Linked DNA regions of Bombyx mori. The protein of the gene in region 2 interacts with the protein of the main gene of each other region in a biochemical or structural test. Links are inferred from orthologs where the notes say so. Each region holds a gene or a part of one and is shown on either strand. Other genes may lie near its edges.

What was found.
Region 1: the proteins of cullin-associated NEDD8-dissociated protein 1 (region 2) and cullin-1 form a complex in vitro, tested with the Homo sapiens proteins (6 studies listed by BioGRID and IntAct). The link is inferred for Bombyx mori from reciprocal best matches to the Homo sapiens genes CAND1 and CUL1.

Annotation. Positions count from the first base shown.
Region 1 is NC_085108.1:4,435,868-4,439,388, forward strand, and holds part of cullin-1, read right to left. Parts: intron 3,102-3,521; coding exon 2,968-3,101; intron 1,697-2,967; coding exon 1,589-1,696; intron 1,181-1,588; coding exon 1,109-1,180; intron 184-1,108; coding exon 31-183; intron 1-30. UniProt on the Homo sapiens protein: Core component of multiple cullin-RING-based SCF (SKP1-CUL1-F-box protein) E3 ubiquitin-protein ligase complexes, which mediate the ubiquitination of proteins involved in cell cycle progression, signal transduction and transcription.
Region 2 is NC_085111.1:7,841,773-7,845,756, forward strand, and holds the start of cullin-associated NEDD8-dissociated protein 1, read left to right. Parts: upstream 1-1,172; 5' UTR 1,173-1,401; coding exon 1,402-1,443; intron 1,444-1,528; coding exon 1,529-1,698; intron 1,699-2,179; coding exon 2,180-2,393; intron 2,394-2,487; coding exon 2,488-2,622; intron 2,623-3,383; coding exon 3,384-3,541; intron 3,542-3,663; coding exon 3,664-3,826; intron 3,827-3,984. UniProt on the Homo sapiens protein: Key assembly factor of SCF (SKP1-CUL1-F-box protein) E3 ubiquitin ligase complexes that promotes the exchange of the substrate-recognition F-box subunit in SCF complexes, thereby playing a key role in the cellular repertoire of SCF complexes.

The DNA of each region.
Region 1 (3,521 bases), on a different chromosome or scaffold from region 2:
GGGGGGGGAGTATTGAAGTGGTGACGTCACCTCCGTGGGCAGCTGGAAGGACGTGGACTGCTGGAAGGGCCACGAGCCGGACGACAGCACCTGGATGCTGAAGTCTATGTGCAGGGGCTGCTCCGAGCTGTTTGCCATGTGCTTCCTGAAGTTCTCGTTCAAGTCCTTCGACACGCCAATGTCCTGTGCGAGATATTAAATTAATCATCATCATAAATTCACACATTGATTTGTTTATATTGTGTTTTTGAAGTTATACTTCTTTAGGCGCGTTATGAAAAATTGATGAGAGTGAAATTTTACGATGCGCGCGCACCGTGACACAAAATTAACAGAAATGAAGTTGGCCACTAAATCGCTCATTACAATACGACCGACGTAACTTGCGAGTCTGAATATAGCCGCAGGTGAACTTTCGCGCATGCTCACTCGCAAAAAAAAAAGTGTTATTAGCATTCATTTTTTAGTAATATAAATGACAAAATTATTATTTAACATAATTCATACTAAATATTATTAAATTATTGACGTTAAATATTTATTAATTAAAAAAAAAGAAATAAATTTAATAAAAATAAAGTATAGCTTCTTACGCGCGTACGTACATAAGTACACGCATCCTTTTTTTTATTATAGCTCTTTTATTTTAAAGATAAACTAAATAAACTTCTGTAAAATTATAAACGATGAAACAAGTTGAGAATGATTATTTTTTAATAAAAACAGAAAATTAAGTGAACCGAAAGAAATGGGTTATATGAATAGACGTCAAAAGTGAAGAATAAAAAACCACATTAGCTATTATCAAAATAGCAAAGAGGTCCGCAACAATTCTCAACAGTTTTTTTATTAATTCCATAGATATTTTATGATGAGAAATGCTATTCATGTGTAAAGGGAAAAATTAAACAATCCCAGAAGGCCCACTGATTTTCTCACCGGTTCTTCTCAGTGGTTGCGACTTCGTTCCGGTAAAAGATTCAGCCAAGCACTACTCTTGCTAGGGCCATGTTAGCAATTCTCTGAATAGCCTTCAAAGGCTACTGGCAAATAGGTAGACGAAAGGACTTAAAAGCGCCAGTTTTTAGTAAAATTACTAAATACTAACTTGGAACATTCTCTGCAGTTTGCTTGTGTACTCGAATCCGCAGGCTTGTTTCAATTTTGAGATCATCGACGCCTGTCAACAGAAACACATAATGTAGTTGTAACGATTATTTATAAAGCTCAACTTCTCTGCGTCTAGACAGACTCAGCTTTATAAATTTTATGGTTTTTTTTAATGCTTAATTTGGGAAACGAGCTCACAGCCCACCTGGTGTTAAGTGGTTACTGGAGCCCATAGACATTTACAACGTAAATGCGCCACCTACCTTTAGAGATATAAGTTCTAAGGTCTCAGTATAGTTACAACGGCTGCCCGACCCTTCAAGTCGAAACGCATTACTGCTTCACGGCAGAAATAGGCAGGGCGGTGGTACCTACCCGCGCGGACTCACAAGAGGTCCTATCGTAAATAAAAGCGATGACGCCTGACCACCACCAGGGATACTTCCTCAGCGCCGAGATTGAGACGAAGCATACTGACCTCTGCGTCATCGCTGGCCGACATGTGCTGCACCAGTCTCTTCGCCAGCATCTTGCTGTAGAACTTCTGGAAGACGTCCTTATCTTCGATGTACTTGAATACTACCATCTGCAATTTTAATTATCTCTATTATTCGAAGAGGTCAAATCAACAAAATTGGAACTCCGCTATCTGGTCTATTTGATAGATTTTTTTTTGTTCATCATCTATTGATTTATCACGTCTCCTCCCCGTCAATTCCTACCACCAATTTCAGACGAGATCAATCTATCTATTGATTATAGGATATAAATGAATGATCCATAAATCCACAAAAATCAACGCAATCCAACATTTGTATCCTCTAAGCTTAAGTGTGTGTTTGTTCACCCGCTTTGTCGTATTTAAATAATAACTTGGATAGTTTTCTAGAATTTATTAAAACATTACTTAAATAAGATATAAACAATTGGTAGAAATTTTGCAGGAGGGAAATGGAGGGAAAATGCAAAGACACAGATTACACTAAGGAGATATTTTTTAAAGGATTTTATGACCTGGTAACTGAGACCTTTAAGTCATATCTTATTTTAATTTATATTCATATTTTTATGGAAAATGATATTATGGAGTGAAATGAAATGAAGATGATTAATTTGAGACATTAATCAACTGGGATGAAATTAAATGAAATGAAATGAGATGATATGGGATGAAATATAATCTCAGTAAGATGGTGGTCATTCACTAAGATTTTTTCAGTGGACTTTTTGGAGGATCCTGAGAAGTTACGTCCAGCGGCTTTGTTTCATTTTCCCACATTTAAACCTGAAGAAACACTAAATAGACAAAATAAAATAAATCGCACAACTTCACTCCTCGCGTTCCCGCCAAAAAGTCCACTAAGGAGATAGATTATACAAACTCAACAGTGTGGTCGCATAGATACTTTAAAATGTATTTTATATTATGAGTCCACGTAACACAGCCATAGCAAAGTTCATTCAAAATTTTTCTAATGAAATACGTACTCAACAAATGTTCACGATTGACTTCCACGGTGAAGGAATAACATCGTGCAATAAAAATCAAACCCGCAAAATTTATAATTTGCGTAATTACTGGTGGTAGGACCTGTTGTGAGTCCGCACGGGTAGGTACCACCGCCCCGCCTATTTCTGCCGTGAAGCAGTAATGCGTTTCGGTCTGAAGGGTGGGGCAGCCGTTGTGACTATACTGAGACCTTAGAACTATATCTCAAGGTGTGTGGCGCATTTACGTTGTAGGTGTCTATGGGCTCCAGTAACCACTTAACACCAGGTGGGCTGTGAGCTCGTCCACACATCTAAGCAATAAAAAAAAACATGGATTCTTGAGATTTTGTATTTGAGTGTACTCACGACTTGATTCAAGGTGTCTTCAAGTTCAGCCTCCTCGGGGTTCTTGCTGGACTTCTTGAGCAGCAAATCGCAGTACTTGGCCAACAGTTCCGGACTCTTCGACGAGGAGTTCGCCGCTTTCGTCACCGCGTTGCCTGCGATTGGTTGTCACACTTAAAACTTATTGGTTCTATTATAATAATTATTATTAACGTATTTTATAACTTTCTTTGTCAACCCTAAAAAAAGATTGACGTATGATACTAATATCAGATTTATTTGGTTTGCCATGAATGTAACTTTATCGTGTGACGTCATTTGGGGGTATAATAAAAGACGAGCTAACCGTGAATCGCACAACGATTAAACAGATTAGCTTTTGTTTGATAATTTTCAGAGTAACACAATTTCATTCACTTCTACTTTCGGGCCGGGTGCGATCCAGAGTGGTTTGTTTGACTAGCCGATGCCTACGCGCGCATTGCTGTTAGCGTGGACCTATATGTTACTTATGACGACGCTTGCAGCTGAAAGCAAGTATTGTACTTTTTGACGAAGCATGTTGCTGATAACTC
Region 2 (3,984 bases):
TATTAGTTTCTCATTGCTCCTGTAGATGGCAGTAACATATTATCTATCTTAAATTTTATTTTTAACTATGGATTAAAAAAATATATTTTTCTATATATAATTTAAAATATATATAAATGGAGAAGAGATCGTTTCTCTAATACATAGTATTCCCTATTGCAAGAAAAAATTGATTTAAGTTTGAAAAATGAAGAAAACCGTAATACTACACACTGCAAATTTAGTTACACTTCTTTCACGTGTCACGTGCCTCAAGTTGCACGCGCACCTTTTTTTTTGTAATTCACAACAAATGTAATAGGATAATTTTGTATAGTAAAAAAAAACTCATTCATCAATAATTGTATTTATAAAAATCCTAATTATATTATTTCCAATTAACAACAACTTACCTCTGCAATCTGCATATTTGAAGTTATAGTAATAAAAGCAGAAAATAATGATAAATTATTTTCATACTTGGCGCTCAATATACAGGGTATCTCAGAAAGAATTGATAATACTGAAACACCTCATAGTAGAGCTATTGGGGACACAAAATAAAAAATAAAAAATAAAATCTTAGGTAGCACCCAAATTAAAAATAAAATAAAAATACCAAATTTCATTATTAAAATTGAAGTTCAGATTAACTTTTATAAAAAATTACACTGGCTACTCATGCGATTTTCTACATATTCCTTAGTATAGTCCATATAAAATATTATAACACCAAAAAGCTTATGGATTTCATTTATTTGTAGCTGTTATATATTCCAGAAACGCACAGCAGTATGGAAAATATCAACTTTTTTTTAAAATACATAATTTGGGTACTACCTGAGTTTTTTTTATTTTTATTTTTTTTTGTGTCCTCAATGGCTCTACTATGAGGTGTTTCAGGATTATCCATTCTTTCTGGGACACCCTGTATATGAGTAAGACTCTGTAAGACGCCATAAGCCTTTTAATTTATAAAAAAAATAATTATGTTAGTAAAAAAGGTTTTTTTGTAACCGAATATTGTTAGTTTACTAATTTGCTGATTAAAAATTTACATTACCTACTCATAATATGGTTTTGAAAGAAACGACTGTTTAGACGATAAATTTGAAAAAAAAAACATGACTATTTTACGGCCCTGAACACAATGCTGTTGGCCTATAATGGTCTCGATGCCTTTGGCTTGTAATTATCTACAGTGAGTACTGTTCAATAGAGGTCTGTGTACCTAAAAATGCAAAATAAAAAATTGACAAAAAATCTATGGTCACTTAAATGAGGTTTTAGTTTTACCTAGTTTTTTGCAAATTTTTTCTCGTGTGAATTAATGTTGATTAAACTGTTTTCAACTAATTAGCTCTCGTTAGGTCTTAATATTTTAAAATTATTTTTGGAAGAGACACTGATAGGATTTGCACAATGGCTAATGTGTCTTACCATATAGCACATCTTCTTGAGAAGGTAAGCCGGTTAATTTGTTAACTAGTTCAATGTTTTCGTATCTAATAAGCTCGCATTTATTGAGGATTTTCTATTTATTTCGTAGATGACATCCAATGATAAAGACTTCAGGTTTATGGCTACTAATGATTTGATGACAGAGTTGCAAAAAGACAGTATCAAGCTCGACGATGATTCTGAAAGAAAAGTAGTAAAAATGCTTCTACGATTACTCGAAGACAAGAATGGTGAAGTTCAGAATTTAGCTGTGAAATGGTTCGTTTGATATTTCATAATTCCAAGCACAATAAATCTGAGTATCAATCCTGCATGTGATTCAATCCTGCATGTGATTTAACTCCCAATTTTTTAAGTTCTATTCAAACTACTTATGAAAAAGTATGGTAGAAGATAAAATTTCAATATTCGCTGTCGCAGATTTTTGTCATAGTTTTATGAAATTAGATAAGTTTCCTTTACAAAGTCAAGTCTAATAGTCTCAGTTGTTCTGTACTTTTATCAGTGTTAAATTTGTAAAATTACATAACTTTTTCTCAATTTAAACCAAATTCACTTAGGTATTTCAACTTTCTCATACTAAAAAAAATATATGTTAATCTTTTGCTCTATTGCTGCAAGAAAGAAGCACACACCAAAATATAGACTTTACTGATGATAATATTGTTAAAGTCATAATTTTATAATACTGTATACTGATATTAACAAACCAGTACCCTTGACAATAATTCACTTTCAGCCTCGGTCCTCTTGTAAACAAAGTAAAGGAGTATCAGGTGGAAGGTATAGTTGATACACTTTGTGCCAATATGCTTTCGGATACTGAGCAGCTAAGGGACATCAGCAGCATTGGATTAAAGACTGTAATTTCTGAACTCCCACTGGGTTCCAATACTCTTGCTGCTAATGTTTGTAAGAAAATAACTGGTAAATTGAGTAGTGCTATAGAAAAGGTACAGTATAGATGTTTAGATATTTCACTGGATTGTTCAATTTATTGCTCTCTTCAAAAAATAAACATGTCATTATTCTTCTTAATTTTTTCAGCAAGAAGATGTTTCAGTTCAACTTGAAGCACTTGATATTCTTGCTGATTTATTGAGCAGATTTGGTGGTTTATTGATATCATTTCATCCTATGCTGCTCAATTCACTGTTGCCGCAGCTTGCATCTCCCCGTCAGGTATACAAGTAGCAATGAAAACACCTGTGATCCAATTATATATTATTATGTATCCAAAGTTTGTAGGCTAACTTTTGGTTGTCCCGATATTTCAAAGTTAAAGGAGCCTACAGGAGCAGCTGTTGCTACCTTCATTGTCCCATTTGGACTCTTGATTATTATGTTTCTTGGTGGTTGGTCATACATTTCGGGAACACTTTATTGTTTACTATCAACATATAAAATAATAATGAAAATATGTAATGTAATAAATATTAAAATTAAATGTTCCATGCTGATATTAATTATATAATGCAATAGCAAGTTAAAATTTTATTTAATCAAATTATAAAGGTTTTTTGTCTTGTGAGCTGTGGTCAACTATTACCAAAAATGAAGAATTAAGGCAACCATAAATTTATTTGCAAAGAAAAGTAATTAACTATCTTAACTATCTTAACAGGTAATTTGTAGCTGTTATGGGTTAGGTGCTTTCACTATGTGTATTGTTAGCAGATATCTCAAATATACCAGTTTGAGCTGTGGGACAATTTAGGCACAGTATAAATTCAAACATTGAACTTATGTCTTTTAGTGGATGGCTGCATTCATATCCTAATATCTTTCAAACTCTGGTAATGACATAGAATTAGGTAGGTGGTGAGCTATCACCTAACGATATAGTCCATTACAAAAAAATTATGAAATATATATATATATAGCAAAGTATGAAGGTGTACGTTGATCCAAAATTTACGTAATATAATATTAAAAAATTCCAGGCTGTTCGCAAGCGCACCATAGTTGCGTTGTCACATTTGGTCATGTCTTGCAATGCTTCGCTTTATAACAAGTTAATAGACCATCTACTGGAGGGTCTGAGCTCTTCAACTTCATCAAGTGTCAGCCGAACACACATACAGTGCATTGCTTCTATATGGTATGTTGTGAGTTAATTGACATTTTTGTTCATTCATATTTTAATTTTGCAGCATGTGTAGGATCTAGGCAAGAAAAATTATATTAATTAGACTAAATTCTCTTGAAATTTGTTTATTTTAGTCGTCAAGCTGGACACCGATTTGGTGAACAATTGTGGCGTGTGGCACCATCAGTTTTGGAATATTCAAAAGATACAGATGAAGAATTACGGGAACATTGCTTGCAGGCTCTTGAAGCATTTGTCCTCAAGTGTCCTAAAGAAGTCCAACCACATATACCTACGGTAAATAGACATAATTGGATTTTTTTATTTTCATTGCCTATATAGATGAACAAGCTCAGGGGTCAACCTTGTGTTGTCAGTTATTGGAGCTCATTTACATCATGTACATGTACATTCATACAAGAATGAAGCTTTGAGACAAGAGGTTTAAGTCTTAA